Regions from separate parts of the Mus musculus genome. Here all the other regions are reported to be linked to region 3. Evidence: microRNA targets listed by miRTarBase, many of them from high-throughput screens and not tested one by one. Region 3 holds a microRNA gene; each other region holds the end of a gene's coding sequence. Distances are from middle to middle.
Evidence for each region. Region 3 holds the annotated microRNA mmu-miR-466p-3p (AUACAUACACGCACACAUAAGA, at 1,219-1,240, opposite strand). A microRNA usually pairs through its seed, bases 2 to 8, with sites in the 3' UTR of a target mRNA and lowers its output. Matches are read on the target gene's strand: a 7mer-m8 pairs with bases 2 to 8, a 7mer-A1 pairs with bases 2 to 7 and ends in A, and an 8mer does both.

Region 1: miRTarBase lists Zfp354a as a target of mmu-miR-466p-3p. Seed matches in the 3' UTR shown: 7mer-A1 at 391-397, 7mer-m8 at 1,931-1,937, 7mer-m8 at 1,935-1,941, 7mer-m8 at 1,939-1,945, 7mer-m8 at 1,943-1,949 and 7mer-m8 at 1,947-1,953.
Region 2: the mRNA of Gas2l3 is a reported target of mmu-miR-466p-3p. The part of its 3' UTR that is shown has no 7-base or 8-base seed match.
Region 4: the mRNA of Tbc1d13 is a reported target of mmu-miR-466p-3p. Seed matches in the 3' UTR shown: 7mer-m8 at 1,168-1,174 and 7mer-m8 at 1,172-1,178.

The regions. Positions count from the first base shown.
Region 1 is chr11:51,070,427-51,073,604 of GRCm38, forward strand. It overlaps Zfp354a (zinc finger protein 354A), which reads left to right. Exons shown (of 5, transcript NM_009329.4): 5 at 1-2,373. The coding sequence ends at 259. Among named protein-coding and RNA genes, the nearest start is that of Zfp354a, 13 kb to the left of the region's middle.
Region 2 is chr10:89,410,627-89,413,804 of GRCm38, forward strand. Gas2l3 (growth arrest-specific 2 like 3) reads right to left here. Exons shown (of 11, transcript NM_001033331.2): 11 at 1-3,178. The coding sequence ends at 2,577. Among named protein-coding and RNA genes, the nearest start is that of Gas2l3, 32 kb to the right of the region's middle.
Region 3 is chr2:10,489,452-10,492,629 of GRCm38, reverse strand. It overlaps Gm25285 (predicted gene, 25285), which reads right to left and starts at 1,294; the gene lies at 1,205-1,294. All of the region lies in intron 10 of Sfmbt2 (Scm-like with four mbt domains 2), which reads right to left. Mir467a-6 (microRNA 467a-6) reads right to left here and starts at 1,582; the gene lies at 1,500-1,582. Mir669a-8 (microRNA 669a-8) reads right to left here and starts at 1,064; the gene lies at 978-1,064.
Region 4 is chr2:30,149,202-30,152,379 of GRCm38, forward strand. It overlaps Tbc1d13 (TBC1 domain family, member 13), which reads left to right. Exons shown (of 12, transcript NM_146252.3): 12 at 499-2,813. The coding sequence ends at 564. Among named protein-coding and RNA genes, the nearest start is that of Gm31080, 12 kb to the right of the region's middle.

The DNA.
Region 1 (3,178 bases), not on the chromosome of region 3:
GCCGTACCGATGTCAGGAATGCGGGATGTCATTTGGTCAAAGTTCAGCTCTTATTCAGCACCGAAGGATTCACACTGGTGAGAAACCCTTTAAATGTAACACGTGCGGGAAAACCTTTAGGCAGAGCTCCTCACGGATAGCACATCAGCGAATTCATACTGGAGAGAAACCCTATGAATGTAACACATGTGGGAAACTTTTCAACCATAGGTCATCCCTCACCAACCATTATAAAATTCACGTGGATGAGGACCCTTAAAAATACATTTGCAGGTGTAAAAGCCTTAAACCAAAGCTCTTCAGAGAATATCTTGAGAGATGTAATAAACATAATATGGGGGGTCTCTATAATCATTTAGTTACTGTCAACTAAATTCCATGGATAAGTTTTATGTAACAGGTAGGAACAAAATGGTCATGCCTGTCTAACACTTTTAAAAATTACTTGAGATCCAGGGGTTCATACATGTAGCTACTGGGACCCAGAGACATGAGGATTGCTTGACTCCATGAGTTTGAAGCAGCCTCAGCAAACCTAGGGAGGTTTCCATCTCAAAAGATCAGTGACCTGAAATGGAGAGTTCACAGTTGAAGACCTTGACTTCAGGTATTTGTAAAATGGTGCTTTTCTCTCTGCAGCAGTGTGTGCTAGAAACAGTTGTAATTATAGGCATCTAAGTGCACAGAGGAGTGCGCTGGACTTCTCAGTAGCAAAACACTAAACTCTACTGTGGTGATATTTTTATACCACTTTAATAACATTCAAAAGGGATCAACTCATTTTTAAGAAAAAAGAGCCAAAATAAAAGATTAAAATGAGCTGTAATCTACCTCTTAAGTCTCTGGAACATCTCCTTTTCTTGACCGGATTTCAAATGTGTGTGGATATTATTATAAATGAAAAATAAAAAGCTCATCTCCTGGTATTGTGAATTGGAGATAGTCCACCTAGTTATTAATTCTGTTCCCAGAGGTTTTTGTTGTTGCTGTTGTTTTGATTGCTTCAAAGTCATGTGCTACTAAATTCTACCTTTGACCCATGTGCTGTCGTCGAGGTTGTGTGTTAAGTACGGGAACAGCAACTAAGGAGTAGCTCAGTGGTTAGGAGTTTCTGCAGTTTCAAGTGACCCAGCCTCAGGTTCCAGCACCCATGTCAGGTGGCTCACAAATGCCCCTACCTGCAGGCAGATCTGATGTCTCTAGTCCTCACAGGCAATTGCACACATTGCATATTCATGTGTGTGTGTGTGTACACAGTTTAAATCTTTCTAAAAGTGAGAAATAAACTCAAAGTTACTAAGAACATATAAGTTTTAACCACACACGCAAAACCCTTATCAGAAGACATGGCAAATCTAACACCTGTAGGAAAATGCTGAAGATCTTGCTATTATTTAGAGCTGCGTGTGTGCCCCCCAAATTTATGGGTTGAAATGCTAGACTCTGGGGTGATGAAAAGATTACTAGGCCATGTGAATTAGCTCCTCTTTAATGGAGTTAGTGTTGTGGTGAAATAGTAAACTCTTTTTCAGCTGTCTCTCAAATAGCATAAGAAGATACCTTTGAAAGGTATGTTTTCGCCAGACAGCAAAATATCACCCCTTAAAAGTTGTATTTACCAATATGAATATCTTTATTAACATCACTGGATTTAGTATCACCTAGAGGACACACCTCTGGTTATGTCTTCGAGGGTGTTGCTAGAGAGGTCTACCTGTGGGGCAAAGAACCATCCTATATGTGCATGGAATCATTCCACGGACGAGTCCTGGACTGAAAAAAAAAAAGCCAGCTAAATACAAGAATTTTTCTGTTTTCAGCTCCATTAAAACTTGAGGCATCAGCCTAATGCTTGTACAACCACAAGCTCCTCCTACTCTTGCTCTCCTAATGTGATCAGACCTGTGCTAATTGTAACTGTAGTGACATTGTATGTATGTATGTATGTATGTATGTGGGTATATGTGTGCAGATATATACATATATATGCTATATGTATGTTTGAGACAGGGTTTCTCTGTGTGTAGCCCTGACTGTTCAGGAATTCACTCTGTAGACCAGGCTGGCCTCAGAGATCTGCCTGCCTCTGCCTTCTGAGTGCTGGAATTAAAGGCATGGGCTACCACTGCCTGGCCTATATTTGTAATTTTCAGTTAAAAATTAAATTCTTCATTTGCAGTAGCCACAGATCCTCCGTTGAAAAAAGTTGTGTTGCCTTTTGCTGATCCAGACCCAGAAATTATTTGGTGTGACAATTTTCTGCAAAATGCTCTGTAGGGACATGGGAAGACAGCCATCTCACACCAGGTAGCACATCACATTGCTGGTAACTACACAGCACCTGGAAATAAAATGTCAAATCAAATGAGATGACCCACATTTCTTCCTGCTAATGGCTAAGGTTGGAAGGAACACAGAACTACATAGAGATGAATGCTCACAACTTCCTGGGCAACCTGAGGTCTACAATTTTAGTACATTTAATGTTGATTTAGCAATTATCACTGGCTAGGTAATTTATAATGAGATGAAATTTTTTGCAGTAATGATAGCTGAAAAGTCTACACCGGGTGAGGGCCTTACTACAACATAATCTGGCTGAAGCCATCTCCCAATACTCCATAATAACAACAATCAATTCATCTAAATTCTCTACCTCTCAGTGATGTTAAATTGGAGATTTTGTTTCCAACACCTGTACTTGGTGGTGGTGGTAGGGGGCCTGTCAAACAATAGCTTCTCATATCCTTTTGGTGGACCAGCCTGACTCCATCTTAAAGTTAAACACCATTTTGTTACAAGCTCAAAGTAAGCTCATTTCTGTTTGCTGCAAAATTCAAGTTAACTGTGATTTAACCTGGTTCTGGAAATTGACACGTTCCCCCACTCAATGGAGTTCAACTCACACCTCAGATGTACTCCATCCTGATGAGATGTCCGCTAAGATGATCTGTCAGACAATCTAATTGGCTGCCTGCTTGCCGAATATAAAAAGAAATTGCTTGCCAAATCCCTACATCACCAAATTCTTTTGAAAGCTCCCAGTTTATACTTTTTCACTATAACAAGAGTCCTGAAAAGTGAACCCACACTGCTCTCTCAAATTCCGACTCTGAGAGTCAGTCCTATGCATAGTAAATAGAGCTTGCTTAATTGGCTGTAATTGGGGGTGGGGGGT
Region 2 (3,178 bases), not on the chromosome of region 3:
CTTAAATAAATAATCCTAAAGTTAATTCGGGAATTTGTGCCAGGTGTCTGAGAATATCTTTATTCTTGATTACCCAGCACAAAAGATAATGTTTATAAAACTGTACAATGTACTGAGTCATAGGTTTAGTCTGCCTATAGTGTAATTTATATTTTTCTTTTAATTCTCAGAAGTTACTGATCTAGAAATAGTTTCGGCGGCCCTCTCTATGAGGGAATAGCCTCTCTAAAGCTACAATCCTTCCTCTCTGAAAGGTGTGTTAGATATTCCTGATTACAGAAATGCCCCTGGCATCTCTTTTGAGTGCTAAGAGGTGCTTTCAAAGATGTACATATTGCCATTAGTGATGCTCAGAACCGGAACGTTTGGCAAGTTTTTGGTGGTTTTCTGTTGTAAGGGATCCTGAGTAGATCTTTGATTTTATGCATACTGCTTGGGTAAAGATCCAGTGGTCTTTACCCAAGGTTCTCTTGCTGTATGTAGGTCTAGAGAATGCCAGCAGCCAGCCACGATGCTCACTCATTCAATGATGGCAGGTCTGGGTCAACTATTTTGTTTGTGTTAGAAACCGTATTTGAAGGGGCCGAGGAGGAAGCTCAGTCGCAATGCTTATCTATCAATGTAAGACACCATAGATCCTCAGTCTCACAAAGAAAAGAAAGGAAGAGGAGGAGGATGGAAAGCAGATTTTAAAGGGAGGGCATCTGAGTTATAAAAGAGGAGTCAAAGTGACAATTTTTTTTGAGGCGTGTCTCTAGTGCATAGCTGAACATGACCTTGAATTTCTGATCCTCCTGCCTCCACTTTCCAAGTAATGGAATTACAAGCGTGTACCTCTTAGACCTGCTTTTCCTTCCTACAACTTAGGATAACTGGTAATACCATAGTTACTTAACACCCTTAAAAGTTCCCAAAGTACATTAATAAACTTTAAATAGTGACAAGCCTGTACATAAATCATTTACAAGTATCCCTGTGGGTGGAAGGTGTTTATGCTGTCATGAAATCATTGGATATTCCTGACGAGAATCTGCCTACAGAACAGAAGGTACACTGTCTGCTGGGCACTGGAAAACTGAGCACAACATGGCCTTACTAATGAAGATGAACATAATCTGGAGACTAATTAAAATCGACAGTGTGCTAGCAAAAGAAATACAAGTCACCTGATGAGATGTGTGCATAGCATCACACAAAGGTTCTCTTAATACCATCTTAATCTTTTGTACGCGTCAATATATGTGGTGTGCATGCATGTATGTGAGTCTGTGTGTATATATGCATTCATAGGTGTGTGTGCGTGTGTGTGTGTGTGTGTGTGTGTGTGTGCATATGTGAACAGGATATATGTATGAGTCTGTACATAGAGAGAACAGACATTGACTTTGGGAATCTTCCTTTTTTACTAAGGTAGGGGTGGTCTCTCAAAAGAGCTGCCTCTCATCCATCGGCTCCTCTCGCCAGCCAGCTTGTCCCAGGAAATCCTGTCTCTTCCTCCTGAGTGCTGGGACTACAGGCAGACCATCAAGCCCACCCAGATTTGTATGTAGGTATGGGGACACAAACTCCAATCCCCATGCCTGTACTAGACATGACTTATCCATTGAGCCACCCCCCATCCCTTTTAATTTTAAGATCATTAAAACCTAATTCTGGTATCAAAACACATTATTTTAATGAAAAAATTTATATGTACATATAGGAAATGTCTATTTAAAATATCTTAGTATGCTAAAAGCTATTAAATGTTTCCCTGTCACACTGCACAGACTTCATCTAAAAATATAAGATACAAAGTGTCTAGATTATATATATATATATTTTTTTTTTTTAAAAAACTTAATTCTTACTAAATTTCAGCTTATGATTCAATAAGTTAACTTACTTGGTTGAGTTTTTTTTTCTTTTTATCAAAAATATTGGTTATAAAATGATACAGTATTAAAAAGCCAAGTTTAATTAAAAAACCAAATAGTCCCTTCTGATACGGAAATATTATAGAGATTTAAATAGTAAGAATTCCATTTAATCCAGAATAATATCAAAGTAAACAGCAGGAGCCATTGGTACTTAGGATTGCTGGACCAGGATTCCTGACCAATAAATTAGGTGCCTATTACAGCACATTTCAAAACCTTGCTGGCTTCTACTGTGTACCCCTGCCTCAGCCTTCGGAGCTGGGATTACAGGCACACACTAGCGCCAAGCAAACCATTGCTTTGTGGCTGAGCACAGTAACTAGTGTTTAAGAGTATCGGAGTTGCTATTAGCAGATAACCTCCACAGTTAACCTGTGTTCAAAAATATACCACCAATAGTTAAAATTCTAGTAGTGTTCTTGGACTTTTACACTTCCCTCAAACAGCAGACATCATTAGCAAGATGATACAGGTCAAAACTCACACATTTGTCCATTGATACACAAAATGCATGGGTCCTTTCCCTGACCCAGCTTCATCCCATCTTGACTTCATGTCTGCAGCTCTCCGGACAGACACAAATAGGAAGATCTTTGGTGATCCTTGTGGCTCGCCATTCATTGATCACCCTGATTTGCTGAAACGATACAAGTGTATTTATTTCCTAAGCTTCTTATTTCCGGTCATAACAAAATAATGGTCATCTTCTTCCTTCTTCCTGGCAGTGGGCATTTTATCTCCGCTGTCTGCCCCCTTACCAGATGAGGGTGGGTCCCTGAAGGAAGTTGGTGGCTTGCTGCTTTTGGGAGGCCCTTTAGCTGAGTACTGGCCCTTCATGGCAGTCTTGGCTGACTTCGAGACAGTTTCTGTCTTGGTAGCAGATTGGGGAACAGTCACAATAGACAGCGGGGTACGGCCAGGAGACTTTGAAGAGCCAGGTCCCGGATTCCGGCAGACACCCTTACTCTGAGGTTGCTTTTTGGCAACTGAAACTGTATTCTTACCTTTCGATCCCTGAGTAGCTTTTGCAGAGGACCCTGAGCACACAGAAGCTGGACTGTTTAAATTCAATGTAGACTGAAGTCTTTGTGCTGAGACTGCTCCTGACCTCGGCGTTCTAGTGGGTGGCTGAGACTGTGTCCCTAGACCTATGGCTCCGGTTTTAGAACTGGGCTTGGTCACTTTGGCAGGTGGCTGGAAAGGAGAAGGGTTAGGCCTTCCGTGCATGGCTCCTTTAGGTAGCTTTGGGGACTTGGATG
Region 3 (3,178 bases):
ATCGCATGCTGAACTCTAACTCATCATGAAGTTAAACATGAATTTGAACTCCTCATCCTCCTGACACTGGCAAGAGTGCTCACCTCCTAACTGAGACATAGCTCTGGCCATTCCTATGAATGTGTGTGCATGTGTGTATATGCATATTCATATAGAGAAGTGAATATGCACACAACTATACACACATGTACATTTTGGTGGGCATAATATGAATCCCATGCTGATCATGAACTCATCATGAAATTCAGCACGAACTTGAACTCCTGATCCACCTGACTCTGTCAAGGGATTTCACCTACTGAGTGAGACCTCTCCCCATTCAGTACTGAAAAATCTTAAAACTCTAAGTCACATGTCATTCAAATGGATCGATGAGTTGCACTGATGTTTTTGTGTGTGTTTCTGTTTGTGTCTGTGTACATGTACATATTTGTGTAGATAGGTACATCCATATACTCAAATCCACACACAATAGAAACAGATACAGATAGGGATACATAGGGGACATCACATGAATCCCAGGCATATCTCTAAGTCATCATGAAGTAAAGCATGAATTAGAACTCCTGATCCACAATCTTTCACACCTGATGAGTAAAACCATTCACTGTCCCACTACTTCATAATCTTGAAAACTTTGAGTCACATGTCATTCAAACGTATAAATGAATGCAATTTTTTCCTGTGTGTGTGTGCTTGCATAAACACGTGTGTTTATGTTATGTATATCATGTCAACACATACAATGCACATACAAGTAAGCACACATGCACATACATGGGTTGCATGACATTAATACCAAGATGATCTCCAAATGAAGTTAAGCATGAATTTGCAATCCTTATCCTCCTGACTTTGTCAATCTTTTACACCTGGTGAGTGAGTCCATTCAATGTCCCCTATTGCATAATCTCTAAAACTCTACATCACTTATCATTCAAAGGGATTGGCGAATGCCATTCCTGTGTCTGTGTATGTGTGCTTGCGTTTATACGTGTGTGTGTATGTTATGTATATTCAAATATAGACATGAACATGCACACACAACTATACACACATGCACATACATGGAGGAATCACAGGCTGATCTCTCATGAGGATAAGTGTAAATTTGAACTCCTGATACTCTTAACTCTAGCAAGCATTTTCACTCTAAGTCACTTATCATTCAAATGGATTGACGAGTGCCATTCCCCTGTGTCTGTGTGCTCATATGTGTCTTATGTGTGCGTGTATGTATATGTATATCATATTCACATATGTACATGCACACACACATCAACACATATACACATACGTAGGGGCAATCACATGAATGCCAGGATGACCTCTAACTCATCATGCCTTTACTATGAACTTGCACTCCTGATCTTCCCGACTCTACCAAGGGTTTTCCCGTGGTTTGTGAGACCTCACCCTGGCCCAGTCATACATAACCTCCAAAGCAGTAGGTCACATATCATTCAAATGGATCCGTGAAGGCCATTTCCGCATGTCTGTGTGCATGTGTGTGTAGGTGTGTGTATGTATATGCATAAAATATACACGCATATACATGCAGGCACTTACGCACACGGGCACATACATAGGGGCCATCACATTATTCCAGGATGATCTCTAACTGCTCATGAAGTTAAGCATGAAATTGAACTCCTGATCCTCCTGACACTGCCAATTATTTACACCTGGTGAGTGAGACCTTCACTGTCCCTCTACTTTATAATCAGCAAAATTCTAAGACATATATCATTCAAATGGATCAATGAGTGTCATTCTTATGTGTGTGAGTGTGCACGCCTGTGTGTGTGAATACATTTGTATGTGTGTGTATTTATATGTATGATCATATACACACATGTACGTGCACACACAATTATATGCACTTGTGCATACCTAGGATCCATCACACAAATACAGGGTGATCTCTAACTCATTATGAAGTTAAGCATGAATTTGAACTCCTGAGACTCCTAACTCTGGCAAGTGGTTTTCATCTGATAAGTGAGATTATTCCCTATACCATGAATATACACTCAATGAAATTATAAGCACGTATAAATCAAATGGATGACTGCCATGTGTGTATGTGTGCACATGTATGTGTCCCTAGTTGTGTGGGTGTGTATATATATATATATATATATATATATATATATATATATATATGCATGTTCATATACGCGCATGTACAGGCATACTTCCCTATACACATAAACACAAACACAGGGAAAATCACATGAATTCCCGGCTGATCTCTAACTCATCATAAAGTTAAACATGAATTTGAACTACTCATCCTCATGATGCTGGCAAGAGTATTCACCTCCTAACTGATTAATAGCTCGGGCCATTCATGGGAGTATGTTTGCGTGTGAGTATATGCATATTCATATACAGAAGTGATTATGTACACAACTATACACACATGCACATTCTTGGTGGGCATCACATGAATCGCATGCTGAACTCTAACTCATCATGAAGTTAAACATGAATTTGAACTCCTCATCCTCCTGACACTGGCAAGAGTACTCACCTCCTGAGACATAGCTCTGGCCATTCCTATGAATGTGTGTGCATGTGTGTATATGCATATTCATATAGAGAAGTGAATATGCAGACAACTATACACACATGCACATTTTTGGTGGGCATAAGATGAATCCCATGCTGATCATGAACTCATCATGAAATTCAGCACAAATTTGAACTCCTGATCCACCTGACTCTGTCAAGGGACTTCACCTGCTGAGTGAGACCTCTCCCCATTCAGTACTGAGGAATCTTAAAACTCTAAGTCACACGTCATTCAAATGGATCGATGAGTTGCACTGATGTTTGTGTGTGTGTTTCTGTTTGTGTCTGTGTACATGTATATATTTGTGTAGATAGGAACATACATATACTCAAATCCACACAAAATATAAACAGATACAGATAGGGATACATAGGGGGCATCACATGAATCCCAGGCATATCTCTAAGTCATCATGAAGTAAAGCATGAATTAGAACTCCTGATCCACAATCTTTCACACCTGGTGAGTAAAACCGTTCACTGTCCCAGTACTGCATAATCTTTAAAACTTTAAGTCGCATATCATTCAAACGTATAAATGAATGCAATTTTTTTCTCTGTGTCTGTGCTTTCATATACACGTTTGTTTATGTTTTGTATA
Region 4 (3,178 bases), 20 Mb from region 3:
AACGTCCATATCTGTTCTGCTCTGCTTCTCATGTGACTTGAGCCAAGTGACTTTGTCTCTAGGCCTTAGTGCGTCTCCAACACCTGGCCTAGGGTTGGTTTCCAATAACCTCACTAGCTAGGTCTGTAAGACGGCCATAATCACAGTACCCCTCCTTGAGCCTCCTGAGGTGACTAGAAAACCAAGGGCTATGTTGCCTGAGCTAGCAACATGCTGTTCATAGGTGTGGCTCCAGCTTCTGTGTCAGACGTGAGGGCTGAGGCCTTTGGGTACCCTGGTTCTAATACAGGCTGTGAGACCCTTTGGGCCTTGGGACGCAGAACCTTAGTGACTTGCAGTGTTTGGGGCAGGCTACTCTGGGTGTCTGGTACACCATGGTCCCTGGCCCTGGTGCCATTCCATGGTAACGAGTCTCTGGGAAGGTGGTGGGTGTGGCAAGTGGAGCAAAGTGGCTGCTGCTCCAGGAGCATGACCTTGCTTTCGCTTTCCGCTTTCCAGGATTACCCCATCACAGACGTCTGCCAGATCCTACAGAAAGCCAAGGAACTCCAAGACTCGAAGTAACGTGGTAGCAGGGTCCCAGCTTTGGAAGAGCAGCCACTGCGCTTGCTCCACACCCTTGTTTTGGGGACACAAAGGAGCCTGTGAGAAAGCCAGCCTGAAGGGAAGCTACAGTCCTGGCCAGCTCCAGGTCTTCCCAGCCTGGTTCCCATGGTCCAGGGTGCTCCTGGAGCACGCCGCGATGCGCTCCTTCCCAGTGCTCAGCCCTGCCACACTCCCTGCACCTCAGCCCTGGGACCCTCCACCCAGACTGCTCAGCAGGGCCGGAGCTCCTGAACTGGCTTCCTGGGGCTGGGGCCATTTGGGGCCTAGGAGGCTGACAGGGTCCTGCCATGCCTCTGCCCAGTAGCTCCTCACCCCTGTGCTTTCATCTTCCCTGAGTCCTGGTCAGGGGAGGCAATTAGCTAATGGGCCAGAAACAACTTCTGAGTGTTGGTGCTCAGACTGCCTGGGGAAGCACCCCAGAAGAGCTGAGTGACTGCCAGTTCTAGGGCCACCGTTTGTCCCTGTCCGGTGTGTTTGCTTGTGGCCGGTAGGGTTGTCTCCCAGGTCTCTGCTTTGTGTGTGTGTGTGTGTGTGTGTGTGTGTGTGTGTGTATGTGTGTGTGTATGTATGTATACATGTGTGTTCACACATGCCCTGGCAGTGGGGTGAGGGTATGTGGGAACCCTCTAAGGCCCTGCTTCCCCTCTGTGTCTACCTCTGCCTGTCCCTTTTCTTCCTTTGCCAGAGGCGTGTGTGGCTCCTGCTGTCTTTCTTTTGTCTGTCCTCTTTACCCTGGCGCTCTCCTCCCCTCTGCTCCCTGAGGCCAGCATTCAGGAGTGTAGCTTAGTGAGAAAGCCCTGGAGGCCAACTTTATTGGCATCCTGTTCCCATCCCCAGCCTGAGGCCTCCAGGTCCTCTATGTCAGAGCAGGAATCCCCAGTACCTGCTCCAATGGCAGCCTGTGATGCTTTGAGCCTCTCGCCCATTTTCTACTCAAGAATGGAGAAAGGAGGGATGGGGAGAGCCTTCAGTTGGAGAGTAAGATACCCTGGCTGCTGTGTGCCTGGGAGTTGCCATTTCAGGAGTGATGTCATCTCTTTGATGGCCATGTTCCCATCTGGTGTGTGTAGTTCTCATCAAGGGCAAGGGACCAAAGAAAGCTTCTCTGGGTCCAGGGTGGCTAAACTGGAAGGCCTGGAGCTTCACAGTACCAGAGGGCTACCTCTGCCATCTGCCCCCATGGGAGGCGGAGCGGGGAGGCGGCGGGGGGGGGGGGGGGGGGGGGAGGCTTCGGAGGTGCTGGCCTTCCTGGTCATGTGCTTGATCTATCTTCTGACTTTGGGGCTGGGTTCCCTGAACCCTATAGACTTTTCTGACCATGTTTCTTCCGGAGGTCAGGTGGCTTGAGTCCTGAAGGCAGGTTGGCAGCAAGGGCTCTTAACCTTCTCCAGAGACTGGCCAGCAGGAGTGAGGCTCCAGTAGCTGGCACCTGAAGCCTTCCTGAGAGCAGAGGGCAGGGCTGCCTCCTTCCCAGGCCATTGCTTTAGCCAGGTTGGGTTGAGTGCTGCTGGGACTCTACCTGCCTTTTTACTACCTTCTCTCTCAATACACAACACCTGGGACGTATTTTACTATTTATTTGGACACAGGCTAGCTATTTATTGCAGAGTGGCAAGTGACCTGGGGAGGAGTGGCCAGGATGCTAAAGGAGTTGGAGAATTCAAATATGGATTGTCTTATTCCCCAAGGTTAACCCTGACATCCTCTCCCCGTTCCTGCCTGAGAGGGCTGCCAGCTTTACCCTAGAGCCGAGTATAAGGGAGGCCATATACACTCCCGCCATCTTGACCGCCCCCAGACCTAGGACTTGGTAGCTGGTAGCTCAGCCCCAGTACTGCTCCCTTTGTTGACTGGGACGCAGCAAATGCTGCCCAGGACGCGGATGCATTCATTCCTTCTTGCCTGCCTCCCCCACCCCACCCCTTGCCCCGTTTCCTGGGACCATGCTACTGGAATCACTGCATCTGATTTGTTTCTGTGGGAGACCTGCATCCTGTGCCCACCACTTGGTCCTTGAGATGAAGGCCAAGGACATGGAGACTTTGTCTTGGGTAGGGTGGCTCCGCAGTTGGACGCTGCCTGAGGGAAGGATCTGCCCTTGATTCTTAAGGGGGAACCCCGAGCCTGAGCTCCTGCAGCTCCCGGGAGCTCAGCAGGCCAGGGCTGTTGATGAGTCGTCCTTAATAAACTGTGCTCTTTACCATGCGTGTCGGTGCTGTGCTGGCTGGACTTGAGACTTTGGAGGAGAGGAAACAGTTGGAGCAAGGACAGAGCCAGAGTCCCTTAGAGTGTTCTAAGACAGACCAGGAGATGCTTGCCAAGACACTTGCAGTTCGGCTGCGGCCAGCCAGAGACGGCCTTAGGAAGGAGGAGGTGCGCCTGGGCACACATTATTATTAATCTTCTTACATTATATTTCTTTGTGTGCAGCCTGCGGGTGAGGGAGTCTAGCTGGCATTGGTTCCCTCTTGCTATCATGTGGGTCCCAGCAAACTCAGGGCTGCTGTGAGCACCTTTACCCACTGAGCCAGCCATCTCACGCACTTCCGGCAGCGCATTGTTCCTTAGGTCA